Oryctolagus cuniculus: one gene and its partners. The protein of the gene in region 7 interacts with the protein of the main gene of each other region in a pairwise test. Links are inferred from orthologs where the notes say so. Each region holds a gene or a part of one and is shown on either strand. Other genes may lie near its edges.

Region 1 (3,500 bases), on a different chromosome or scaffold from region 7:
GCCACTTGGGACGCCTACATCCCATAGTGGAGCGCCTCGTTCAGCTGCTGATCCGGCTCCCTGCTGACACAGCTGGAGGCACAGCTGATGGCCCATCCACGAAGGAGACCTGGCTCCTGCCTTTGGTCCTGGATGCCGTGGGCACCCGGGGAGTGAACTAGCAGACAGAAAATCTGTCTTCCCCTTTCTGTCAATCTACCTCTCAAATAAACAGAGCTCACCATACCACCATCTCTCCGCCAGACAACCAAGCTTCCTACCTCCCTACCTTCCACGAGCCCCGCAAGTCGGGAGGCCGGAGGAGCTCTCTGCCTTTGCTGTCCTGAGGCCGGGGTGCTGCTCAGGCTGGCGATACGCACCTTTCTGCTTCACCTGCAGGGAGATGAGGCCGTCGTCCACGTAGACCTTGCTGCCCACGTCCACCACCTTGCAAATGTTCTTGTAGTCCAGCCACAGGATGTTCTCGTCGCACTTCTCCATGTAGGCGTTGTCCAGCGTGATCTTGAGCGTGGCTCCCTTCTTCAGCTCCACCTCCGCCGTGCCGCTCTGGACAGGAGAGTGAGCGAGAGTCCAGCTGGCAGCCAGCGCCCCCGCCTCCCTAGCACAATGTCTGAATCTCAGAGGAATCACAAAGCTTGGCCCTTGGTGAACAGATGCCCTTCTCTAACTTAGCACATCCGAGGAAACAGCCAAAGACAAAGGCCAACACGTTCTGTTGCGTTACTTAAAGACGGCCAAGACACACAAAGAAACTGCTTCTCAAAGCCAGAAGTCAGTTTTTAGACTAAAAAAAAAAAAGATCCTTTTGTGGTACCATGGAATCCACATTTACACTTGACCTGAATTCTAAAACATGGCAGCACCCAGCAAACACCACAGACACGCCCTGGGCTCCCCGTGTCCCAAGGATACTCACGCCCTTGATGAGCCCCGTTCGGATCTCGGGTCCCTTAGTGTCCAGAGCCACCGCGACGGGCCGGTAGAGGATGGGGTCTGAGGCAAAGCTTTCCGTGGCTGTGCGCACGTTCTTGATGGTCTCCGCATGGTACTGGGGGAGGGAGAAGAGGACAAGTGTCCTCCCACGCTCGGGCCAGCTGGCATCCCTGGGGCTGGGAGCCAAAGCTGCATCGCCCACCTCGGCCGCCGTCCGCCCGAGCACCCGCAGCCTCTCCGCACCTCCACCACGGCACGCACTCAGCAGAGGCCACTGCCGCCCAGAACCACACAAGCAGCAGCACCTTCGGGCTGTGCTCTTTCCCCTAAGACAACTAACAGGGCAAGACGACTGGGGCAGAAGAACCAGGGCAGGTGTGGGTGAGACCGCCGGGCAATCAGCGCAGAGCCTGACAGAGGTGGCCAGGGCGAGGGCCCTCTCCCACGGATTCCAACCACAGTTCCAACACCAGGTTGTGGACTTCACGTGAAAGCTCAGGTAGGTCACGAGAGCTGGCTGCACCCTCCCTTCCCAGGGTGTGGCCTGAGAGGAGAGGAGCAGGCCAAGGTGCTCTCAGGCCCCTCTCCGCACCAACTGCCCTGGCAGCACATCCTGGCTCCCGTCTCTCTCCAAAGCCCTTTCTTCCTCACTTGCCAGTACTGTTCAATCAAAAAGGCAGTCAAAGCCGAGATAAGATGTCAAAAGGGCTCCCAGATAGGGTAATCAATACGGCACTGCTGATAACAGGGCACCTTGCTCAGCACTTCATGGGCTTGGCCTTTAACCACCACTGTCTGGGCAACAGCAGCTGCCAGCAGGCCTGGGACGCTGGAAGGTACCAGGAGCCAGAGCCGTCTCCAGGGACGACACTGCCCAAAGCTGTCTGACCACCGTGAGCTTCTAACTCAGGCACTCTCTGCAAGGAGCGACCACTGGCTCCACTTTCTATTCTGCAGAGGTTCTACATTCTTCGTATTGCTGGTTTGCAATAGAAATCATTTACTTATAATTAATTTATTTTCACTTTTTATTTCAAAGGCAGAGAGAGAGATTATCTTGCAGCTGCTGGGTTCACTCCCCAAATGCCTGCAATTGTCAGGAGCCTACAACTCCATCCAGGTCTCCCGCATGGGTCGCCTCCCAGGATATGCACTAACAATAAACAGTTGGAAGCAGAGAAGCTGGGACTTGAACAATGCACTTAGATATGAGATGTGGACATTCCAAGGAGCAACTTAACCTCTGAACCAGACACCCAGTCTGGAGATAGTTCTGGTGTGGTTTTTTTTTTTTTTTTTTTTTTTTTTTTGTAAAAAAGGAACGGATTGGCCGGCGCCACAGCTCACTAGGCTAATCCTCTGCCTGTGGCACCGGCACCCTGAGTTCTAGTCCCGGTTGGGGCGCCGAGTTCTAGTCCTGGTTGCTCCTCTTCCTGTCCAGCTCTCTGCTGTGGCCCAGGAGGGCAGTGGAGGATGGCCCAAGTTCTTGGGCCCTGTACCCGCATGGGAGACCAGGAGAAGCACCTGGCTCCTGGCTTCAGATTGGTGCAGCACGCCAGCCACAGCAGCCAATTTGGAGGTGAACCAATGGAAAAGAAAGACCTTTCTCTGTCTCTCTCTCTAACTCTGCCGGTAAAGAAAGAAAGAGAGAGAGGCAGGGAGGGAGGGAGGGGTGCTGAATATTACCAAATACCTTTTGTTCTGAGGACTAAAATAACATGAAACTCAGAAGAGTCAAGCACACAGGAATTATTTAATAACTCTATGTTCCCACAATAAAATTTACTTGGCCACCAGTCAAGAAATTCCTTTAACAGAGGAGAGGGAGTGGGAGATCTTTCATCATTGGTTCACTCCCCAAGTGGCTCCAATGGCTAGGGCTGGTCCAGGCTGAAGCCAGGAACCTCACTCTATCCTGGGTCTCTATGTGGGTGACCAGGACCCAAGTACTGAGGCCATTACTCCCAGGCACACCAGCAGGAAACTGGATCAGAAGTGGGGCCAGGGGCTGGTGCTGCGGTGCAGTGGGTTAAATTTCTGGCCTGCAGTGTTAGAATCCCCTATGGGCACTGGTTCGAGTCCCAGCTGCTCTACTTCAGATCCAGCTCTCTGCTGGTGCATCTGGGAAAGCAGTGAAGATGGCCCAAGTGCTTGGGCCCCTGCACCCACATGGGAGACCCGGAAGCTCCTGGCTCCCAGCTTGGGATCAGCTCAGCTCCAGCCACTGTGGCCATCTGGAGAGTGAACCAGCAGATGAAAGACTCCTCTCTTCTTCTGCCTCTACCTCTCTCTGTAACTCTTTCAAACAAATAAAATAAATCTTTAAAAATAAATAAAGAAAAAAGTAGAGCCAGTGAGACCCAAACCAGTGCTCTGATATGAGGTGTCTGGGTCCCAGTGGAGGCTTAAGCCTCTGCGCCACAATTCCCTCCCCATCCTCGTATTCTTTTTTTTTTTTTTTTTTGACAGGCAGAGCGGACAGTGAGAGAGAGAGAGAGAAAGGTCTTCCTTTGCCGTTGGTTCACCCTCCAATGGCCGCCGCGGCCGATGCGCTGTGGCCAGCGCAC
Region 2 (4,138 bases), on a different chromosome or scaffold from region 7:
ATAAATATAGAAAGACAAATACAAGGGCAATTCTTCTACATCAAAGAAGCAAAATTCCTAGTGTCTAGCATCAGGTCATAAGGAAATTAATCAAAACTAGCTATTTAAAACTAAAATCAAGTAGCTTTTAGTTCTAAAATATTCTACAGTCAGGGAATGTTTCCTATGCATTGTATAAACATCTCAAAACAGTATTTATACCACCTAATCTTCAGTGGTACTCTAACATTCTTTTGCAGAGTTGGTTTTGCCTTTTCATTTACTTGCTCTTTATAAAATTGGAGCCTTATCAACTTTCTTAGCAAAGAGGAAAATAACTTCTAGGCGAAATTTTCTAATATAAGAGTACTTCAGAGAGTTCAAGGAAAAAAGAAATTAAAAGATGTTTTGTTACAAAAAAATTTTGAAATCCTGAATTGCTTCAAAAATGCATTTTCATGAACTTTTTGAGTACTCTTCATATGCATGGATGGAAACACTTTCATATACTGTGTTTTGGTCAAGTGCATATGAACGTGTTCCTAATATTAACAATACAGAGACTATAACAGTTCTAAGTTCTATTCAGGCTGGTAATCTGACATGACAAAAAACTGAGAAGGAAAAACAAAATGCAAAGCTGAGGAATCAATGTAGAAAGGAAGAGATGGTACTAGAGGTATAAACAGCCAATTCATTTTTAGCTTAGCACAATTATGGAAACCAAATACAGTATTTTCCTATATAAACTAACATTTTAATTGTCTAAGTTTTCCAAACTGAGGGCTAATAATAAATATTCCTCTGTTTACTTAAGACTTCCTTGGAGCCGGCGCCGCAGCTCACTAGGCTAATCCTCCGCCTAGTGGCGCCGGCACACTGGGTTCTAGTCCCGGTCAGGGCGCCGGATTCTGTCCTGGTTGCGCCTCTTCCAGGCCAGCCCTCTGCTGTGGCCAGGGAGTGCAGTGGAGGATGGCCCAGGTGCTTGGGCCCTGCACCCCATGGGAGACCAGGAAAAGCACCTGGCTCCTGGCTCCTGCCATCGGATCAGCGCGGTGCGCCGGCTGCAGCATGCCGGCCGCGGCGGCCATTGGAGGGTGAACCAACGGCAAAGGAAGACCTTTCTCTCTTTCTCTCTCACTGTCCACTCTGCCTGTCAAAAAAAAAAAAAAAGACTTCCTTGGAAAGAAAGCATATTGTTTAAAATATTACATCTATGTGTGTGTGGTTTTTTTTTTTTTTTTTTTTTTTTTTTTGACAAGCAGAGATAGACAGTGACAGAGAGACAGAGAGAAAGGTCTTCCCTTTTCCGTTGGTTCACCCCGCCAAGTGGCTGCTACAGCTGGTGTGCTGCGCCGATCTGAAGCCAGGAGCCAGGTGCTTCCTCCTGATCTCCCATGCAGGTGCAGGGCCCAAGCACTTGGGCCATCCTCCACTGCACTCCCGGGCCACAGCAGAGAGCTGGCCTAGAAGAGGGGCAACCGGGACAGAAGCTGGCACTCCAACCGGGACTAGAACCCCAGGTGCCTGCACCGCCGGTGGAGGATTAGCCTAGTGGGCTGTGGCGCCGGCCACATCTATATGTTTAAAATATTACATCTAAATGCCTTCATAACCTCTTTATGAGCAAAGAGAGAGATGGGAAAACATAGTAAAAAGTTAGATAACAAGCGAAAGATAGTGTACAGTATTAGTAGAAAAACCAGAGATATTTGGCTATATGCCAGAACATACTACCTCAAGACCAATTCTACTTTAAACCACATAATTCTATTAATACAGAAAAATTTAGAAAAAAAGTTACGCTGAAGCTATTTATAATTTTTTCTAAAATTAAAATAATTCTCATTTATCTTTTAAAGATCTTCGAGAAGAGAATTAAAAAATTACTACTGTTATACTACACTACAAAAAAATCTATCCATCATTTATTTCTGTAAGATAGCTAATCACACTTATTACTTATCTTTTCATTTAAGACTTTTTCTCTCCAAAGCTCAAAAAGACTTCAACATGTGGGCCCTATTTCTTATTTAAATGTGATTATTATTTCACTATCAAATTGTTTTGGGAAGCTACAAGTATAAAACTACATAGTGTATTATCCTCTTCTGTATCTTCTAAAATTTTGGAGTAACTTTGAAATTAAACTATACTTCAAGGATGGGCATTTGGTGAAGTGGCATCCCGTATCCCTGGGTTTCAGCCGTGACTCCACTTTCAATTCCAGCTTCCTGGTATTATGCACACTTTGGATCACAGCAGGCGATGGCTCAATACTTGGGTCCCTGGCACTCATGTGAGAGATCCAGAGTGAATTCTGGGCTCCTGGCTTCAGCTTGGCCCAGCCTTGGCTGTTACAGGCATTTGGGTAGTGAACCACTAGACAAGAGATCTCTGTCTCTCCCTTTCTCTAGCCTTCAAATCAACAAACAAAATTTAATTACACTTCATATCATTCCACTTCAGGATTTTAATTTCCAAGTATCATCCACCCTGCCAAATTCCTCTCCCAGATGGCTGGTTCACAATTCTAAGGCCAACTTAACCACTGACAAAAAGATTTCATCAGATTACTTGATAACCCATTCTAATATTGTAGTCTTTTGAGATAGCCTAGCAAACCTAATAGCATTACCTCTTTATCTTTTAGTCCCAGGAGCAATACTTCTTCCATAAGGGTGAGGCGTATATCCTTGGAGTCTCCAGGGTCTTCAGTGTCTGGATTCCTCTCTTGATTACAGTCTTCCTCACTTTCTACCTTCTTTTCAAAGTTCTTGCTTACTTCAGTGCGACGAGCCCGGTGAGTTAAAGTGGTCATTCTCACCTGTTTCTGGAGGGAGTGGCATAAAATTAAAATCCGTATGTGTGTGCTTATGTAATGACTAATAACTAGTATCATGCACTCAATTTGGAGATCACCTGTCTAGAGAACAACACTCAGAAAATCACATGCAGTAATTCCAGTCAGTAGACTCAGATCCCTAGCTTTAGCTAGCCATCTTGCAGACTTTGTGTACACAGTTGCTAACAAATAGAACCAGAAAGACAGTATCAAACTGTAACAATTCTTTCTCAATCAAAAAAAAAAAAATCAACACACATGCCTTTTACACCAAGCACCAGTTTAAGAAATCTTGTCAAAAGAAACTGCATTAAATAATCTGTGATAAAGTTATTACATTTTATACAAATCTAGATGCTCATTTTTAAGATGCTATACAACAAAGATTTTTAAGCTGAAATTATATAAAGAAAATATTTTTTGAGAACAAAAGGACAATATTTAACAGCCACTAAGATTGGAACCAGTTCTACCTCCCGGCAATATTTCCTATTACACTCCCTGTAAATACTTTCATCAAATACGTCTGTCCTGTGCTTTCTTTCTGCCTTTGTTCCTTTGTCTTTGCTGTGCTTCTCTCCCTTTTCCCTTCCTCTCTAAATTCTACCCATTCTTCAAAGGCCCACTGAAGACTCACTGAAACTTTAAGTGAATCTTTACCCATATGTCCCATGGCCAGAATTCATCTCTCCTTCACCTGTACTTTTGTAGAACTTTATTTATACTTACTTCCTTAAAACATTTATTATAGTCTGTCTTTTAGTATGGTTCTCTCAACTGTAAACTTCTTGAGGGCAGGAATATTGTCTTCTTGGGGTTTTATATCCTCCATAGCAACTAGCACATCTTTAACATTACAATTGCTCAATAAATATATATTGATTAAAACGAATACTCACAATGCATGTGGACGTTGAAAACAAAAATACAAGTGAAGTGACTTACAAGGCAGGTTGTAAAAGCGTATATTTCAAATATTTTTGGTGGGAGGCAGGAAGAAGAGTGAAGGAGGAAGAGAACCATGAAATAAATGTTTAAGGGCACTACCTTTACCTGGCACTGTGAATAGGGGCTATTTCTTAACTCAATCCAAAAAACTTTAAACCCTCTGGGAAAACAATAAAGGAGAATCTCCTTTGAGAAACTTATTTACCCTGGGCATTTACTAGTTAAAAATGAAATCTAGAAAAACAAACCAAATGGTCCCAAATATCTAAAACCTCCCTCTCCCCATAAAATAAAATAAATAATTTGAGGTGTTTTTTTTTTTTTTGGACGTTGGGAAATGAAATTTAGCCATTGCTTACCTGATAT
Region 3 (4,262 bases), on a different chromosome or scaffold from region 7:
TCGCTTACCTCTGCCAGCTCTGCCCACAGCAACGTTGTACGTTGGCTCCCCACCTTGACTCTTTGTCCGGATGTCCATTGTGCAGTCCCCATCGACATATAGACTATCTCTGATCACTGAGCACTTCTTTGCGCCAAGAGTCAAGCCGTTGGTAAAGAAACCTTCTCGGTCTTTTCCTACAATCATATCTATTTCTCCTGGCTGCCCCAAAAGAAAAGAAAAAGGAAAAAAACCCATTAAGTTGTAGTTAAATCCGTTCAAGTCTCCACGTAAAGGGTCAGACTGTGCTCAGTTCACACTAGCACTACGAGAGGGCCACGTGGCACTAACGCGGAATCAAGAGTTGTCTCTTCCGCAAGATTACCCAGTCCCATGGACTACACGCTTTCTACCAGCTCATCTGCTTGCACAGTTCCCAGTGCGGTCAGTCTGTACAAAGAATCTCTCCAAGTGTCCGGCTGTTGACACTAGACAAACTACAAACCTGAGAGTTATTTATAAACCGTATCGAGTCAGGTGGTGCCTGAAGGTGTTTATGTCATGGTAAAGACTCGGCTAAAAACTCTTTCCTCAACAGCTTGTCTATCATATTTAGTCACATCGCAGTCATGTCACATCAAATTTAAAGTTGCCTGAAAGTCTCCCAAAATAAAGGCAGTGCTTGGCAGATCAGTTCACGTCCCTGCTGGGAAGAGCTGCCAATATCCCTCTGAGCGTCAACCCCTACACACCAGTGCATTTCCAAATTCGTATTTCCCTCCTGTTTTTCTAGCCACTACTTTTTTTTTTTCCTCCTAACTTCCCTTCCCCTCCCATCTCAGTAATCAGTTTTCTTTCTGGGCAAATGCAAAGCGGGTTCTGTCTACAGCACTGCAGCTGGCACCGGTAAAAGAACAGAGAAAATGGAGGGAGCTTGGGCAAGAAACTGAGGTAGCCAGCAGAACCGGAAAGGAGAAAGCGTGCATCCTAACATTCCATGAATAAGAAGGAAGGCGTCGCCCCCATCAGAACTGCAGAGTCATAGCAGGCCCCAGCCATTTCTAAGCACACTCCAGCAATCTTCCCAGCCAGACAGCGGGAACTCACACACAAAGACAAGAGGACTGCAGGGGAAAAAAAAAAGTTGATCATCAGATGCCAATTCTCCCTAAGAAATGTACTCCACTGCGGGTACCGAAGACCTTCCAGTGCTAAAATGAAGACCCCACTTCTACAGTTAGACCTCAAACCGTGTTAAGTAGCCAAGGACTAATTAATACTCCTAATAGGGGAGCGGAATTTTGGTATCTGATGGGAAGAGAGCTGGAGGCTGAGAGATTAAGGAAATGAGCTCGCATTTGATACAACTGTCACAATTTCAGAGGGAGCCTTGGGGAGACACAGGCGAAACAATAAGCAGTGCTCTAGGCTCAGTTTCAAATATTTCCGGAACATGTGGCAACCAAGTCAAAAGGATCAGTCAGGAGAAAAGCAGGCAGCGTGAGGCATAAATCTGCATCACTGAAGAGGGAGGGACTTGGAAAAGTCCAGGGGCCCCTCGCTCTTCAGATTACTGAGAGCCCATTAAAAGCACTCCCTTTTTAGAGCTATGTTGCGTAACGGGGGATAACGGTGTATCGATGAATCTCCATAGGCGGCGGAGAGAAATCAATGGCAGTTCGCCATCTTGGAGAATTAAAAAAAAAAAAAAACCTATAGAGCCAGTGCTGAAGTCGAGATTCACGAATCCACCTACGTGGTCCGCGTCCATTTCTCGCAAGCCCCAGAGGCCCAGACAGCGGCAAACCTACGCAAAGTCGCTTCGAGAATCCCGGGGGCCGGGCGGCCGCCGCCGCCACCGCCGCCTCCCACAGCCCCCGGCGCGGGCGGCGAGCGGGCGGGCGGCCCGGGCCCCCGGTGCACCCCCGCCGGGGCCCGACCCCCGCTTCCCACCCTAGGATGAGCGAAGCACAGCTCAGGGCTTGCAAGGGACCTAGAGAAAACGCACCGAGAAGAGAGGGGAAAGCCCCCTCCGGCCCACCCCGGCGGAGCGCGACCCCTCCCCCCACACGGGTGCCCAGGCGGCCGCCGCCCCCGCTGGTCAGCGCAGCCCCAGACAAGGGGGCGGCCCCGGGCCTCCGCCTCCCGCGCCGGCCACTTGCCGCATCCTCCGCGCCCGCCGCCCCGCACACCTGCCGGCTCGGCCCTCCAGTCCCGGCCCCTCGCTGCGGCGTCCACCCCAGGCCGGCCAGCCCCGGCTCGGGTGCGGGCACCGGGGTCCCGGCCGCCGCCGGTCCTCACCGTAATGCTCTGGAAGACGCCCCCAGCCGTGGCTGCCCAGACGTATTTGGCGTCGCAGTAGCCGACAATGGCGGCCTCCTGGCAGCAGCCATCGCACATCAGGTTATCCACGTAGCTCTGCCACCCGGCCATCTTCGAGCCCTTCGCACTGCAGCGGGGACGGCGAGCAGCAGCAGGCGCAGCGGCGGCGGCGGCGGCGGCGGGCGCGGGCGGCGGCGGGCGCGGGGGGAGGCGGGGCGGGGGCGGGGAGGAGGCGGCTCTGCGCAGGCACCGACCGCCCCCCTCCCCGAGGAGCTGCGGAGGGAGGACGCGGGGACGGCGGGGAGGGACGAGCCGCGGGGCGCGCCGACCCGGCCGCAGCCGCGGGGCCCACGAGCCGGCGGCGGGAGGCTGCGGAGCTGCTGTGGCGGCGGCTGTGGCGGCTGCCGCTCCTCACCGCGGCTCCCTCAGCTCTCCGCGGCCGCGGCGGGACGTGCGCGCGCGTGCGTGTGCGTGCGATCCTTCCGCGGCGCCCCGACACGGAGGGTCCCGGGCAGGCGCGGGAGGAGGAGAGAAGGGGGGAGGCTGGGGCGGGGGCGCGGAGGGATACCGCTCCGGGACAATCACGGCCGCCACGTGCGGCGGCGGCGGCGGCCGGCCGGCCGGGGAGCTGCTGGCCGCGGTGCCCAGGCTCGGGGGTCCGCAGCGGGGGCTTCTCCCGCGACGCAGCGGGCACCCCGGGGCAGCGGCGGCGGGGCGAGGGACCTCTCGGAGTCCCCGCGGCCGAGCGGCGTTGCGCGGCGCTCCGGCGCCCGGCGGCCCGGGATGCGGGTTTTTGAGCCTCGGTGTCGGGTTGCGGAGTTGCCCGGGAGACGGGATGCGGAGCGCTCGCTGCAGGCGGCGGCTGGCAGGGTCGCCCACGCCCCCTGTGAGGCGAGCTCCGCGGGCCCCTCTCCTCTGGAGCCCGCTCACCTCTCGGCCACCAAGGTTAGCCCAGCGGGCGCGCTCCTGCAATCAGAGCGGGCGCCCGGGCTCTCAGGAATGTTGCTGAGCTCTGCAGATCTTTCATTGTTGCCTCGTCTGGGTACCAGGGGCCTGGGATTCTGTGGATTCTCTGCGGGGAACAGCCCGCTTAGGGCTGTTAGTCGCTTGTGGGGCTGAAAGGCTCGTAAATTCCGAACAAAACGAATAAGAACGGTGTAACCTGTTTGTTAGCGAATGGGGAAGTTACCAATGGGGCGAAGAAACAGCTGAAAATACAAAGGATTGAACAGAACACCTCTGCTCTCTGAGGATGAAAAAGTCGGGACCCAGAGCTGGGAAAGGCTCGTACTGGGTGGACTTTGGTTGGAGACCAGCGGACCTTCTCGTGTCTGTAGTAACCTCTATGACTATACACGGAATTGGGAATGTCCCACATCGGGAACTTCAGTTTTTGGTTAACACAAGCACTCCGCCAGTTAAGGGAAAGAAAAAGGCGCCAGGACCTTGAACATCAGGCGTCCAACGTGACACCTACGGTGTAAGGTCAAAGTTTGTGGAATGGCAAAGATGGGAGTCAGTGTTGCTACACGAGCTAATTGGTCCTGAGGTTTCATGGTTTTTTTGCTGTTTGCTCTGAAATGTTCAGGGAAAAAACGACCGTAGGAGACCCACCTAGCCCTGCAAGTTAGGGACCTGTCAGGTCGACAGACAATACCTGTGTGGTACAAAACCTGAGCCAAAAGTTGTTCCATTTGTGCCTCTGTACCTCCCACCTGATTTAGTTACACTTACTCCTCGTTGAGTATGCCTGTGTTTTGGTGGTGGTGGTTGGCGGTTTTAATCCTTCAGTCTTAGCGTTGTCACCTTGAGAACTAACAAGAAGCGCGCTGGGAGGGTGGACGTACTACTCTTGAGAATCCACCAAACTGTATGTAGATGATTGGGGCGTGTCCTTACATGTGTTATAATGCAGGAAGTTTAAACATAAACAAAAAAAGTGATGGAAACGTTAAGAAGTA
Region 4 (3,500 bases), on a different chromosome or scaffold from region 7:
CGGCACCTGGGGGCGCGTGGCGGGAGGGGTGTCCGGTACCTAGAGTGAGGCTGCGACTGAAGGGGGCTCTTAGCTTCAGGGCTCTTGGCCAAGGACGGGCTTCTACGGCAACGGAACGAAAGACACGTGAACCGGCGCGCCTGCGAGGCCCCCGGGCCGCGCCACTCGGCCTCCCGGGCCGCTCACCTGGACAGGAGGGAGGACACAGGCTTCTCCACCGAGTTGCTCCGCTCCCAGGGCTTCCGGCCAGGCTCTGTCAATCACGGGTGATGGAGAACCTCAGGGCCGGGGGGACCCGGCGGCCGCCGAGACCTGGCTCCTTGGCCTCAGGGCCGCTGCAGCCGGGGCAGCCCCTGTGTCCCCTGTGCCGGGCACTAGTGTGTCCAGGAATTGGGGTCCCCTGACAGCTGCCCAGGGCTGGCCGGGCCCTGCAGCCCCATTCGCGCTGCTGTCACCTGACGCCCCCAGGCTGCCCACACACTGCATCTCCGCTTTCCTGTCCTGGCGGCAAAGCTGGCTTAGCTTCCATTTTCTTTTTAGAGTTGTATGGATTTATTTGAAAGTGGCAGGGAAAGAGGGACAGATGCCCACACGCAGATCTTCTATCTACTGGTTCACTACCCAGATGCCCTCAAAAGCTGGGGCTGGGCCAGGCTGAGGGGCTGAGGCCGGGAACCCAGAACTCCTTCCACGTCTCCCCTGTGGGTGGCGGGGGCCCAGCCGTCTCCCACTGCTGCCCAGGACTCACGAGCAGGGGCTGGATTGGAGCTGGAGGAGCCAGAACTCGATGTGGCGCTGTGATGGGATGCCGGCCTGGGGAAAAATGGCTTAACCTGCTGCGCCACAGTGCTGGCACTGCTGCCAGAGATCTGTTGAATTCACTGACTGCAGGATGAGCAGAGGCAGAAGCCTGAATGGTAGCTGCAGCCAGAGCCCCGAGCCCTGCGTCCACACCACAGCCCAGGTCCGTGGCCCTGGGCAACCTGCTCGACCACGGGGCCTCCACTCTGGGCTGCTCTGCTGTGCAAATAAAGACACGGACGTTGCTTCTGGTCACTGGCCAAGAACCAGTGGCTCTCGGCAAATCGGCCCCCAGGCAAGTCCCATAAGGAGACGGCTAGGGTGTGCCTTCTTGGAGGAGTGGGATGAGCCACTGCGGGCGCAGGGACAGGTGGGGTGAGCAGCTGGCAGAGCTGCCCCGGCCTGGCACAGGCCAGATGCCGAGCAAGGGTTTGCTGGATGACTGAACAGCCAGCCCTGGGTCTTCCCACAGGAAGCCTCTTCTCCCTCCCCAATTCCGTCTCCTGCGGTGCAGCTCATGGGGGTGACAAGAGCAGGGTTGGGGCTGCTTCTGGCAGAGCAAGCGGGATCGGTAGCGCCAATCACCTGGCTGGCATTTGGCAGGGGACATGGACCCTGACATGTAAACACTCCTCCGAGCCCTAGACGCAGCCTCGCGCCCCTGGATCTGAGCTGTCAGGGCCAGCACCCTCCCTCTGGTGGGACGCAAGGTCCCCAGGAAGTGAACACTGGTTTGCTCAGACGGGACATCGTCGTGGTCAGGCGGTGCCTGTGGGGACCCACAGGAACTGGCTTCCCTCTGCTCGCACACAGGGAAGGGGTGGGGCCAGCTTGTCCTCTTCCTCCCACTCCAGGGCCTCGTGTGGGCGGGGCTCTGCTGGGCGCCCCTTACCTGAGTTAGGAGGCTGGCTGGCTGCCCGTGTCCCCGGAGAAGGCGAGGTGTTAGGATCTTCCTGCAGAGGAAAAGTCGGGCTCTCCCATTAGTCTGCCCCAGAGCCCGCTGGGCGCAAGCTCAGTTAGAAGCCTCAGTTTCCCAAACATTCGCAGTGGACGTGTAGCGCTCTTAGAGTCAGTAAAGAATATTATTAAAAAAGGAAAACCGGCCGGCGCCGCGGCTCACTAGGCTAATCCTCCGCCTAGCGGCGCCGGCACACCGGGTTCTAGTCCCGGTCGGGGCGCCGGATTCTGTCCCGGTTGCCCCTCTTCCAGGCCAGCCCTCTGCTGTGGCCAGGGAGTGCAGTGGAGGATGGCCCAGGTGCTTGGGCCCTGCACCCCATGGGAGACCAGGAAAAGCACCTGGCTCCTGGCTCCTGCCATCGGATCAGCGCGGTGCGCCGGCCGCAGCGCGCCGGCCGCGGCGGCCATTGGAGGGTGAACCAACGGCAAAAGGAAGACCTTTCTCTCTGTCTCTCTCTCTCACTGTCCACTCTGCCTGTCAAAAAAAAAAAAAAAAAAAAAAAAAAAAAAAAAAAAAAAAAAAGGAAAACCGTGACTTCACGGGGCGCCCACGCCACCCCGGGGAGAGCAGCCTGGGGCTCCTCCTGGACCCTCAATTGCACTGCCCAGGCCGGGTCACCTGGGGGCCAGATGCTTCACACGCGTGTCCTGCTGACCTCTCGCCGGCACCATGTGGAGCGATCCACTCCTGCACGTGTGCCGCTCGGGAGCAGCTTCAGTCCTGGCCACTGAAGTCTGAGTGGCAGCCTCTCCCTCCTGGGGCGTGGCCCACTCCTGGGCTAAGGGGCGGGCTGTTGCTCAAGGACCAGGGGTCTGGCTGCAGAGACCTGGCAGCAGCAGGCACAGGGACGTCCTAGGGACGTGCTTGGGGAGGACCTCAGGTGCACCCCTACTTGTTTCACCAAGGCATCTGTCCCAAACGCCTGCCTCTCCCAGCTCACTCCATGCTCACCAGCACTGTGGCCACAACGGGAGCCTGAGACCTAGCTCTGACCTCTCAGCCCTACTGCCTGCGGAGGTGGCCTGCTGGGGACAGGCAGGGCCCTGGGGGCCTCCGCCCCTCGCCAGCTCCCTGCCCTTCTGCGCCCAGCAGGTCTTGCACTTGCTCCTGTCCCAGCCCTGCCCACTCCAGCTCCTCCTACAGAGCTTCTGGCAGATACCAGTGGCCACGGGGCCTTAGGGCCGTGGGAGAGGCTGCTCCCTGGGACTGCATGGCGCTGGTGCTGCTGCTCTCTGCCCTTGTCACGTTCTTTGTTAACTGTCTGCCTCCCCAGGGCGCTGTGAGTTCCCCCAAGGGCAGAGGCTCCTGTGTCCCATGGACTCTGGCTGCCCACCCCACGGCACGCGAGGCCACGGAGGCTGGAAGTCATGCGTCCGCCCTGTGGTGCGGTGAGCCTGCAGCAATGCTCACCAACAGCGGGGACCGCTTATGGCCATCACATACCACACACATTCTGGGGAGACGTCTCATGGTCAAGAAAATGGACTTATGACGTAGCAGCAATAACTGCTATGCAGAGCCAGGCAACCTCCGGGGACCACGCAGGGGACTCGTGGGCTGCACTGCCCTTGTCCCTCATGTGGTCCAGGTGCGGCCGCCTGCAGACCCAGGACCCTGGGCTCAGTGCTAACACGGCAATCCTGTGGGAGGCCAGGGCCACGCTTGCTCCCACAGGAGCCCTGCTGGGAACAGGCCCCACCCAAGCATGTGTGTGGTGTGTCCATCAGCACGCTAGGGTCTT
Region 5 (2,694 bases), on a different chromosome or scaffold from region 7:
TAAATCCGATTCTGGAATGATTAAAGGCCGCTTTGTCATCAGTCTCACTGTGGAGGTTTCTTAGCGCCCTCCCTGGTTGCCGGGAACATCCTGGCACTTGCATGGGGCTCCCGGGAGCGTGGTGGCGGCGCTGGGTGTGGATCAGGCGAGCCAGGGCCCTGGTGGGAGGGCTGTGGGCCAGCTGCAGTGTGCATTGTTTGTGTTATCAACAGCTACTTTAACAGACACCAGAGCCACACTCGCGTCACGACCTCTGAATTCTCGCACAGCCCAGCTGTTGCGTTCGAGTTTTGACTTGTCAAGAAGTTAACCTGTCATGCTTCCTCTCCTCCCTCACAGAGGCAGGGGTGGGGGTGGGGCGAGAGCCGACAGCCGCTGCACGGACTGGTCTTCAGACAGACCTCGCAGGGCACCGCGCCACTGCTGTCTCAGCGCGACCGCGTCTGTGGTCTGGGAGGGACGTCGCCCCTGTGGAACAAGCTAAACGGCATTCAGTCTGATTTTGCAGACCACTGAGAAAATCTTTATTTACAATAAATTTCAGTGAAATTTGCATAAATATATTCCCAATGTTCAGTTTTCACCTCTGATTTCTTCATGTCATTTAAAAAAGTTACTCTGTCCTGTTCTCGTTACTCCTCTCGGACGCCAGCGTGGAGCTGACGTTGGGAGGTGGCAGGGGGGCGCCTGCGGGCTGGGGAGGGTCAGGGCCTTCCTGTGGCAGGGCAGCCGTGTCCTCCGCCCCGTCCTGGCCCTCCAGCTTCCTCTCCATGGTGGCCACCAGGATCTTGAGCCACGCGTTCTCAGCCAGCAGCGTCTCCGAGGCGTCGGCCAGCTCCTGGAGCTGCCGGGCCAGCGCGGCCAGCTCGCGGCTCTTCTGCTCGTGCAGGGCCTGCAGCTGCTGGCTGTGCCGCCGGAGCAGGCGGTGCTGCTGCTCCAGGGCCTGCTGCTCCCGCTGCAGCCTGTGCTCGTCCCGGCGGGCGCGCGACAGCTGCACCTCCACCTGCACCTGCGCCCGCTGCAGGCTGCCGATTTCCGCCCTCAGTTTCTGGATCTCTCTCTGCAGCTGGGAGATGTGCCCCTGTTGCAGTGCTGCCTCGCTCTGGACACAGTCCTTGGTAGGAGGGCTGGCCACGTCCTGGCTGGAGGAAGCGGGGGCCGAGTGGTGCAAGATGAACCTCAGCAGATTTGGAAGGGTGATGGGGAGGTCTTCGGGGTATTTCACGCTGAGGTCCTTCCTGGGGAGACAGGGGGAGGAGTCAGAGGTCAGAGTCTGCCGACACACCCTGCCCCGACCTCAGCTCTCCCAGGAGTCGGGCCATCCGCTGATGACCACGAAAAGGAAGATGCTGCCTTGGCAGAGAACTGCCCCACCGAGCTGCGGACAAGGCCCTGCGCGTGTCCTGCGACCACGGTGGCTCCTACTTCCCTAAGGACGGAGCTGCTTCTGGACACAGCATTTCGGGAGAGAGGGGCTCCCAGGCCTACGGACACCAGCATTGTGTGAGCAGGACCCTCTATGCCCTGGGAGGCCCCATGGCCATGTCAGGAAGGGTGTCCTGGGGCAAGACTTGTCCACGACACTCATGACCATAGACAGTGCAGGGCGAAAAGAAAAAAAACCCGACACACTGCCCGTCGTTAGTAAGCATTTACTCACACTGTGGGGCCCTGGGCAGCGTGATCTGGCCGCAGCCCAACCAAGGCGCTCTGCGGAGTTAAGGCTGCTGCCCTGGGGACGCAGCAAGGTGGCGTCCGAGGGCCCCCCACCCCAGACTTGTTCCAAGTCCTTTTAGAACTGGTCGTTCAGTCGTCTGTCAGCCAGTGCGTCTCACAGATGTACGTATGGGTGCGGGCAGCATCTGGCCACTGGTGTGTGTTTCTGTGTGAGCTGGGCCAGTGTGCACGTGTGAGCCAGCCAGGACCACGGAAGCACAGGTCAGGAAGAACACCTCTGTGCCTCCTGCCACCTGCCACTGCCCCCAGTGCTTCTCCGCAGGCCAGGAGTCCCGGCCCGTAAATGGGGACCTCCTGCTGAAGGGAGTGCTTTTCCAGAACTCCACTGTTCTTGGGAAGCCACTAGTTACCAGCTCAACTCCCTCTGCACACACAAAGCCAGAGGCCAGACACCCAAAACCCACCGAAGAGGTTCCAGTCCTGAGTAGCCCTTTTCCGACCAAATCACAAAGAAGTAAAAGTCAGGTTTTGGGGGCTGGCGTTGTGCGCAGCGGGTTAAGCCGGGGCTGGTGTGTGCGCAGCGGGTTAAGCCGGGGCTGGTGTGTGCGCAGCGGGTTAAGCCGCCACCCGCGACGCCAGCATCCCACATAAGAGCACCAGTTTGAATCCAGCACCCTACTCCTGCCTGGGGAGGCAGTGGATGATGGCCCAAGCGTGGGAGACCTGAATGGAGACGTGGACAGGACGAGAACAGTGCGGAGTGAGTCTCCAGTGGGCACGCTAGAAGGCACTCCACCGTTTCTAAGTTGCAAGAACACAGTCGCAACCAACTTTCCAGAAGAGGAGTCATTTTGAAAGTGTGGCGTTAAAAAGTCCCACTGCTGGGGGCTGGCACTTAGCCTAGCAATTAAGACACCGGTGAGGGTGCCTACATCCCACATCAAAGTGCGTGGGTTCAACTCCCAGTTCCGGCTCCTGACTCTGGCTTCCTGTTAATGTGCACCCTGGGAGGCAGCA
Region 6 (4,003 bases), on a different chromosome or scaffold from region 7:
AGGGGGCGAGGCCCTGACCCACAGGCATCAGCTCGACCCCAGCTGTCACGCAAGTAACCAGCACCGGAGCACACACGCCTTTACCCGAGCGCGACCCGGCCACTCCCACCGCCTCCCGCTGCTGGGCTCGGCATTCAGAACCCACTTCTGATGCCGGCCCTGTGCTCTTTTCTCAATGAGTCCGACCCAAGGTCCACCCCGGCTGTTCTCTGCTTACCGGCTCTCTCCCCGGGCTCTGCTCCCGCGGTGGCCAGGGCGGCCCGGCTCGCCGGCCGGCGGGGACGGAGTAGCGCCGAGGTCCGGCCGGCGGGGGGCGGGCGGCTCGGCTTCCGGGCTGAGGCGCTCCTGCTTCACCACCACCGCCGCCGCCGCCGCCGCCACGTCCCCCTCCCGGTGCCTCCGCCGGCTCCTCCGCTCCCGCTCGCTCTTCACCTCTTTCATTCTGCGACTCGGGTCGGGCAAAAGAAAAGAGGTCCGTTGAGCCACTCTCTCCGAAGGAAATGACGAGCTTGACCTCTGGACTTCCGCTTCCGGGGTGTGAGCTCTCCCAGCAACCCTCGCGGCGGAGCGCTGAACATGTGACGGCGCCCCCCCCGTGGGCGGGGCTGCAGGGAGCCGGCCCGAAGGGCGGGAGTTTTAAGTTTGGAAAGCAAACTACTGGGGAAAAGCGAACCTCTCAAGTTAATTCTTCACCGCGTAACTACAGAGCATGTGGGCAACCTCAGTGTACAGCTGTAGGGGGCTCCTTAGCCAATCACTGGGCATTACGTAGCTATTAGTAACGTTATCACGAACCATATACCGCTTTGTGGAAAAAGCCCGGACCGACACGGTAGAGGAAGGCGACGAAACTGCGCGCCAACCGTGATTCCATTTGGCCTTGGAAATACAAAAATGCAATCATAGTAGCCCGTGGACAAATCCTGCTATGTCAGTTCGCCATTTAACCTTGAGGAATACTTTTTAAAGCCCTGGGGATTCCAGAGACCCTCTTTTGGGGAATGGTCTCCAGCCCTTCACTGAGGTGACAATCTTGGGGCTCAGCGAAGGGGGATCTACCCAATCACGCAAGTTGCGCGCTATACGCAGCGCAGGGACTCGAACCCCCGTCTCCCGGGCGACCCGGCTGGCAGCAAGATTAAGACGCCGAGTGCCGGGGCCGAGCGCCAGGGCTGCGCGGGACGCGTCCGCGCGCCGCGCCACGCCCACCCGAGGCCCCGCCCCGGCCGGGAGGGGGGGCGGTTTCCATGGTGACCGCAAACCAGGCCCCCATCGCCGCCATGATCCCCCCGGCCGACTCTCTGCTCAAGTACGACACCCCGGTGTTGGTGAGCCGGAACACGGAGAAACGGAGCCCCAAAGTGAGGACGGGCCTCGGGGGACCGGGCCAGGCAGATCCCCGCGGCGAGAGTCCGGAGTCCGGGGACGGGCCCTGGGACGGGCGGAGAGGGAGCGAGTGGTCCGGGTGGTCCAGATGTCGCTGGGTGTGAGCGCCGCAGGTTAGACCTGGTCGCGGGGAGACAGACGGTAGGGATTCCTCTCCCGGTAGTCGGGTTCAAGGACAGGTCAGGTCGCGATGTCCCCACCGCTACAGGTGGGAGCGCAGACGCCTGACCGCTTCCTCCAGAAACACTGGTCCGCGCATTGCGTTGGGACCAGGGACTCTTCACGGGCTGGGGGTAGGGGAGGGGGTGCGCAAGACCCGGAGGCGTCCAGGGGGCTGAAGGCCTGAATCGTCTCTTCCCAGGCTCGGCCACTGAAAGCCAGCCCCCAGCAGCCGGGACCCTCCAGTCCAATCCCACAGATAACCAAGACCAAGCTCCCCTCAACTTCCTGTGTCCCAGATCCTACAAAGCAGGCAGAAGAAATTTTGAATGCCATTCTGCCCCCAAGGTAAAGCGTGGGCGCAGAGGCTGGGAGAAGACCAGACTTTGGTAGTGTGGGGAGAGGCGTTCGGCCCCCGTGCCTGGCCAGGGTTTCCTCCCTTGCTGGCCTGGAGCCGAGTCCAGAGGGTGGCAGGAGACCGCATCTCATTTCCTGAGTGCTCCCACCCAACCTCAGGGCCGGGGATGCCATCTTTGAAAGGTGTATTTCCCGCCCTGTCCTCTCTCCTAAACTCCAGGACTTCCTCAGTAGCTCTGTGAAGGTGTCCAGTGGACATCCCACACTCAGTGTGTCCACACTCACTCACAGCTTCGCACTCGCCCGACCGCTCATCCCGATCTTCTCCTTTCTGCTGGGAAACTCAGGCCACTTTTTGTTCCTTTTGGTCTTTGTGTCCTGTATCCTTCAGCAAACGATTCTGGCCCCACCTTCCAACCACTTTCTCCGCTTCTGCCTGCACCACCTCTTTCCCGGGCGCTGTTCGTCCCCTGCGCTTCAGCGTTGGCCTCTTATCTGGAAACCCCACTTACTCCTGCTCCAACAGCCTGTTCTCCACGCAGCCTCTAAGTCACGAGTCAGACTGTGCCACTCCTCTGCCAGAAACTGGTGTCCCTTGCCACTCACACGGAAGCCTGAAGCATGATCTGGCCCGGGCTGTAGTCCCAAATCCTATCACCTGTAATCCTCCTTCTCGTGAAGGCAAAGGGTTTCTGAAACACCTCGGTCCTCCCCGCCCCCACTCAGGGCCTGGACAGTTGCTGTCCTCACTGCCAGTCACGCAGATCCCTTGCGATCCGCCCTCACCCCGGCCCCGGTGGTTCCCTGGGGTGATTCCCTGCGTGTTTCTGCTAGGTCCTTGCTCCAATGACGTTTCCCCCCAGGAGGCCTTCCTTGAGACCTCTGCCCAGCTCGACCCCTTTCCCTGGCCTTTTTCTCCCGCAGCCACACTGAGCACAGACACACCCTTTTAATGTCTTATGCAATAACACACAGAACAGTTTGCAAGGCGATGAGGAAAGGGGAAACTCTGAGCTCCAAGATGGAGGTCAAAGGAGCAGGGTGGCTTTTCGGTTGCTTCTCTCCCTCCCCCATGGCATAGAAACACCCTCCCTTGTGGTGGTTCTGTCTCCAAACCCCCTCACTGTGGTTCCTGAATTGGTCTGAGCCTGGATCGCAGAGTTCACTGCGGGAAGCCCATGCAGGCACATACCTTAAAGAACCTCTGCACGGGCTCACTTGGTTAATCCTCTGCCTGCAGTGCTGGCATCCCATATGGGCACCGGGTTCTAGTCCCGGTTGCTCCTCTTCCAGTCCAGCTCTCTGCTGTGGCCTGGGAAGGCAGTGGAGGATGGCCCAAGCCCTTGGGCCCCTGCACCTGCATGGGAGACCAGGAAGAAGCACCTGGCTCCTGCCTTTGGATCAGCGCGGTGCACCGGCCGCAGCAGCCTTTGGAGGGTGAACCAACGGACAAGGAAGACCTTTCTCTCTGCCTCTCTCTGTCTCTCTCTCTCTCACTGTCCACTCTGCCTGTCAAAAAAGAAGGGGGTGGGGGGGAGCTGGAGCATGGGTGATTTCACAGAGATCACCCACCTACTCTAGACCCAGAGTAGAGTGCCTATGGAGGCAGCATGGTGGGGTTGGTGAGAGAGGCCTGGAGGACCCTGATGGGTAGCTGACAGAGCTGCCCCTCACTCTTGCTTAGGCAGAGAACTCCAAGGGCTCGGAGTCCCTGCTCAGGTCGGTGTGTGTCTGGCTCAGCCTGGCTGTTTCTCTGCCACAGGGAGTGGGTAGAAGACACGCAGCTATGGATCCAGCAGGTGTCCAGCACCCCCAGCACCAGGATGGACGTGGTGCACCTGCAGGAGCAGCTGGACCTGAAGCTGCAGCAGCGGCAGGCCAGGGAGACCGGCATCTGCCCGGTCCGCAGGGAGCTCTACTCGCAGTGTTTTGGTGAGTGGGCCTGGGGGAGGTGGGCACTGCACCCCCACACAGAAGCCCACCCCAACAGAATCATCTCTTCTCCCCCAGCCCGGCCCACCCAGAAACTGCCAAGTGCACGGTCTACTCCCAGCTCCGCCTCTCCCTAGTCCCCCACCTAGCTCTGCTCTTGACAACCTGG
Region 7 (3,500 bases):
CATGATTGAGTTCTGATTTTAGGTGTAATGTTAGGAGTAGAACCTTAGAGAAGGGGCCAGCATTGTGGCATAGCAGATAAGCTGCTGGCGTCCCTATGATGCTGGTTCATGTCCCAGCTGCTCCAGTTCTGATCCAGCTCCCTGCTGATGGCCTGGGGAAAGCAATGGAACATGGCCCTAATACTTGGACTCCTGCCACCCACGTGGGAGACCTGCAAGAAGCCTCTGGCTCCTGGCTTTGGCCTGGCCCAGCCCCAGTCATTGTGGCCATCTGGGGAATGAACCAGCGGATGGAAGATCTTTTTCTCCCTCTCTCTGTCTCTTCTGTATGTTAACTCTGACTTCCAAATAATAAATAAATCTTTAAAAAAAAAAAATAGAGAAAGAGGGTGTTGGAAGCTCACCTGAAAAAAACCACACTTACTTCTCAACAAGTAGTTGTCCGCCTGACTCCTCCTGTGTGGTGGTGAGGTCCTATCCTTGGGAGCCATCACAGAAGTAGCCCTTTCACTGTTCCCATGTGGGCGCTGGCTGTGCCAGGGCTGCCCTCTGGGGCAGGCGTGGGTGCCAGTGACGGGGTTTTCTTCATGTTCTGTGTTTAGGTTTTGTTTTTAGAGTGTCTGGGTTGAAGTCCCAGAACTCCACTTTTTTTTTTTTTTAACTTACTTGACAGGTAGAGTTAGATAGTGAGAGAGAGACAGAGAGAAAGGTCTTCCTTCCGCTGGTTCACCCCACAAATGGCCACTATGGCTGGCGCTGTGCCATCCAAAACCAGGAGCCAGGTGCTTCTTCCTGGTCATCCATGCCGGTGCAGGGCCCAAGCACTTGGGCCATCCTCCACTGCCCTCCCGGGCCACAGCAGAGCGCTGACTAGAAGAGGAGCAGCCAGGACTAGAACCCAGTGCCCATATGGGATGCCCGTGCTGCAGACAGAAGATTAACCAAGTGAGCCACGGCGCCGGCCCCCGTGTTAGGTTTTTAGGTTCTCGGTTGGGGTTCCTGTGCATTCCCGCACCTCACCTGTGAGCGTTCGAAGGTAGCCTGTCGTCGCTGGCGCGTCGGGCCGCACCGCCTGCCTTTCTGATTGCGTAGTCTTCCCTTCCTCCCCGACACTCCCCCTCCAGCTTCTTGTGGTCTCAGACCTGTTCACTGAACGCAACCAGTTTGAGATGATGTATGCGACGCTGACCGAGCTGCGGAGGGTGCACCCTTCGGAAGACGAGATTCTCATCCAGTACCTGGTGCCTGCCACCTGCAAGGCAGCTGCTGTCCTCGGCATGGTGAGTGGCACGCCCTGCTGCCGGTTCCCCGGCTAGTCTTCAGCTCAGAGCATCCAGTTCTGCTGCTGCCGTTCCACACTCCTCACAGAGATGGTCCCTGCAGCCGCACGACGGCCTCTCCACGGTCTGCCGGTGGCCCAGTGCACGCCCAGTCCCTCTGTGCCGCTTGCGTTTGCCACAGCGGCCTGCATTCCTGCTCCCAGGTCTGGGCACTGTGACGTGTTGTTGGCGCCAGGGCCAACTGGGTGTTGAGCTGCTGGGGCAAAGCCTCTTGGCCTGGATGGCTCACAGCCAGCCCGTGAGCACGACACGAGCAGGTTCTGTGCACAGTGAGGGGCGCTGCTTGCCGTGTCCCTGGGGTGGCATGAGCCCACCCGCGGAGTGCTGTCACACTGGGAGTTGGTTTTCAGCCTGCGAGTTGGGGGCGGGAGGTGGGGCACAAGCATTCGGGCCCTAGCAAGGGTCAGATGGTGTCTTCCGGTTCCTCCTTACTCTGCCTTGAGCTCATCGGTGCTTACGGCACCAGATCCTGTGCCTGTGTCACCATGGGAAGGCTGCCAGCCACACACGTCAGCTATACGCACCACTAACCATGAGTGCCGTCAGTCCTTACAACACTGTAAGGCACTCGTGTTCTGTGGCCACTTCAGTACTGTGTGTGTCAGCATTTAGGCCTCTGGTGGGGGCTTGAGGGTACCTGGCTACCCCGTGTTCCACGCGTTTTCCTCTGTGTGACAGCAGGAACATTGCCGCTCCTGCTATGCCCGCACCCCTGGCCTCGTCTACATCTGAAAGGCAGCCTGAGAAAGCAGAGGTCGGAGGTTAGCTGACTTGTGCCAGGTCGCACAGGATGGGGGCTCGCCCTGTTGCCCACTGCTCCCTCCTGGGGTCTGTCCCGGCAGAGCCTGGGTGCTGGAGCAGGTAGGGTGTCGTGGGTGGCCTTCAGCCTGCTGCCGTGCCAGTGACTCAGAGCCACGCAGGGAGCAGAGACAATGGGTGTGGGTCTCCTGGTGTGAACATGTTCTTCAAAGTCAGTGCCTCTGGGTGCTGCCTGAATGATGGCAAAGCAGCTCCCTGGAAGGGGCCTTTTTTCTCTGTGGGGAGTTCCAGTGGCTGGCTTAACTTTTCATTGTCACTGTGTTTTGTGCTAGACCCAGAGCCCCCAGGCAAATGTAAATCAAATAAATGAAATAAGAAATAACAATTTTCTAGAGAGATCCTGAGGCAGAAAGGCGCCTGGACCCTGCTTCTGAGTTCTGTGCACACAGCTTTTCCCTGGAAGATGGCCATCTTCTGTGAGGGTCTGCAGCGTGCCGTCCTCAGCCCCGGCAGGGACACCCGCGTGGTGGCAGCGGGCCGTGTTTTCAGCAGTGGGGCTGAGGAGTCGGGCAGGCCCAGCCCAGGGGTGAAGCAGGGAGCGTCTCCTTCTGCCTGAGGCTTGGGACGCAGAATTCCCACAGAAAGCTGGATGGCCACGGCCTCTCGTCAAGACAAGGTGTCAGCCAGCAGCAGCCACTCTGCGTGGAAACGGTGTGGAGAACCTGGTGTTGCAGCACGCCCACCACTGCCTGCGACTGTTACAGAGCACAGTGCCGCGTGGGTCTCGGTGTGTACAGGACCCGTTGTACTAGGACTCACAGGACTGAGCGAAATGGACCAAGGCAGCATCGAGTGCTGTCGAGAGTCCCCAAGATGACTCCATATTTTTGTTAGAAGGGATCACAGCTTAAATTCATTATAGGAAGGGGTTCAGAGCAGAGTCAGCAAAGAGAAAAGGCACAGGGCCAAAGTTCCAAGGAGACCGGCCGAGCTCCCAGAATCCTCTCCCAGTGGACTCTCCCAGCTCATGCTCAGTCCCCCAGCGAGACGTTCTGACAACACACAGGACATGCAGTCAGCCAGGGGAGCCCGGCAGGGACTCCGTGTGCGGGGTCTTCATGGGGGGCTGGTCGTGTGGGCACGCTCGGCCGGGCTCGTTCTAAACCTCAGACTCCCAGGACAGCAGGTGCAGCATGAGCCCCCTTGTCTGCACAGGCAGCCGAGGCCCGTGTGGGCAGTGGGCACCCTCCCAGAGCCAGCGAAGGGCTAACCTGGTGCGCAGGCCTCTCTCAGACAGCCAGGGGCTAACCTTGTGTGCAGGCTTCTCAGACAGCGAGGGGCTAACCTGGTGCACAGGCCTCTCTCAGACAGCGAGGGGCTAACCTGGTGCACAGGCCTCTC

What was found.
Region 1: the proteins of HTT (region 7) and PKM interact in binary tests that used the Homo sapiens proteins (3 or more experiments, as listed by UniProt). The link is inferred for Oryctolagus cuniculus from reciprocal best matches to the Homo sapiens genes HTT and PKM.
Region 2: the proteins of HTT (region 7) and GOLPH3L interact in binary tests that used the Homo sapiens proteins (3 or more experiments, as listed by UniProt). The link is inferred for Oryctolagus cuniculus from reciprocal best matches to the Homo sapiens genes HTT and GOLPH3L.
Region 3: the proteins of HTT (region 7) and PFN2 interact in binary tests that used the Homo sapiens proteins (3 or more experiments, as listed by UniProt). The link is inferred for Oryctolagus cuniculus from reciprocal best matches to the Homo sapiens genes HTT and PFN2.
Region 4: the proteins of HTT (region 7) and EVL interact in binary tests that used the Homo sapiens proteins (3 or more experiments, as listed by UniProt). The link is inferred for Oryctolagus cuniculus from reciprocal best matches to the Homo sapiens genes HTT and EVL.
Region 5: the proteins of HTT (region 7) and TXNDC11 interact in binary tests that used the Homo sapiens proteins (3 or more experiments, as listed by UniProt). The link is inferred for Oryctolagus cuniculus from reciprocal best matches to the Homo sapiens genes HTT and TXNDC11.
Region 6: the proteins of HTT (region 7) and DNALI1 interact in binary tests that used the Homo sapiens proteins (3 or more experiments, as listed by UniProt). The link is inferred for Oryctolagus cuniculus from reciprocal best matches to the Homo sapiens genes HTT and DNALI1.

Annotation. Positions count from the first base shown.
Region 1 is NC_091443.1:110,889,947-110,893,446, reverse strand, and holds part of PKM (pyruvate kinase PKM), read right to left. Parts: intron 1,049-3,500; coding exon 917-1,048; intron 547-916; coding exon 360-546; intron 1-359. UniProt on the Homo sapiens protein: Catalyzes the final rate-limiting step of glycolysis by mediating the transfer of a phosphoryl group from phosphoenolpyruvate (PEP) to ADP, generating ATP.
Region 2 is NC_091438.1:47,346,147-47,350,284, reverse strand, and holds the start of GOLPH3L (Golgi phosphoprotein 3-like), read right to left. Parts: upstream 2,801-4,138; coding exon 2,618-2,800; intron 1-2,617. UniProt on the Homo sapiens protein: Phosphatidylinositol-4-phosphate-binding protein that may antagonize the action of GOLPH3 which is required for the process of vesicle budding at the Golgi and anterograde transport to the plasma membrane.
Region 3 is NC_091435.1:131,456,337-131,460,598, reverse strand, and holds the start of PFN2 (profilin-2), read right to left. Parts: upstream 2,801-4,262; 5' UTR 2,413-2,800; coding exon 2,281-2,412; exon of another isoform or gene 2,172-2,280; intron 202-2,171; coding exon 9-201; intron 1-8. UniProt on the Homo sapiens protein: Binds to actin and affects the structure of the cytoskeleton. At high concentrations, profilin prevents the polymerization of actin, whereas it enhances it at low concentrations. By binding to PIP2, it inhibits the formation of IP3 and DG.
Region 4 is NC_091451.1:43,850,586-43,854,085, reverse strand, and holds part of EVL (ena/VASP-like protein), read right to left. Parts: intron 1,755-3,500; coding exon 1,694-1,754; intron 254-1,693; coding exon 187-253; intron 103-186; coding exon 40-102; intron 1-39. UniProt on the Homo sapiens protein: Ena/VASP proteins are actin-associated proteins involved in a range of processes dependent on cytoskeleton remodeling and cell polarity such as axon guidance and lamellipodial and filopodial dynamics in migrating cells.
Region 5 is NC_091450.1:25,052,147-25,054,840, reverse strand, and holds the end of TXNDC11 (thioredoxin domain-containing protein 11), read right to left. Parts: intron 1,239-2,694; coding exon 614-1,238; 3' UTR 501-613; downstream 1-500. UniProt on the Homo sapiens protein: May act as a redox regulator involved in DUOX proteins folding. The interaction with DUOX1 and DUOX2 suggest that it belongs to a multiprotein complex constituting the thyroid H(2)O(2) generating system.
Region 6 is NC_091438.1:135,210,829-135,214,831, reverse strand, and holds the start of DNALI1 (axonemal dynein light intermediate polypeptide 1), read left to right. Parts: upstream 1-1,203; 5' UTR 1,204-1,247; coding exon 1,248-1,361; intron 1,362-1,747; coding exon 1,748-1,893; intron 1,894-3,664; coding exon 3,665-3,834; intron 3,835-4,003. Other genes in the region: SNIP1 (smad nuclear-interacting protein 1), read right to left, coding at 218-441. UniProt on the Homo sapiens protein: Involved in sperm flagellum assembly.
Region 7 is NC_091433.1:1,886,590-1,890,089, forward strand, and holds part of HTT (huntingtin), read left to right. Parts: intron 1-1,124; coding exon 1,125-1,280; intron 1,281-3,500.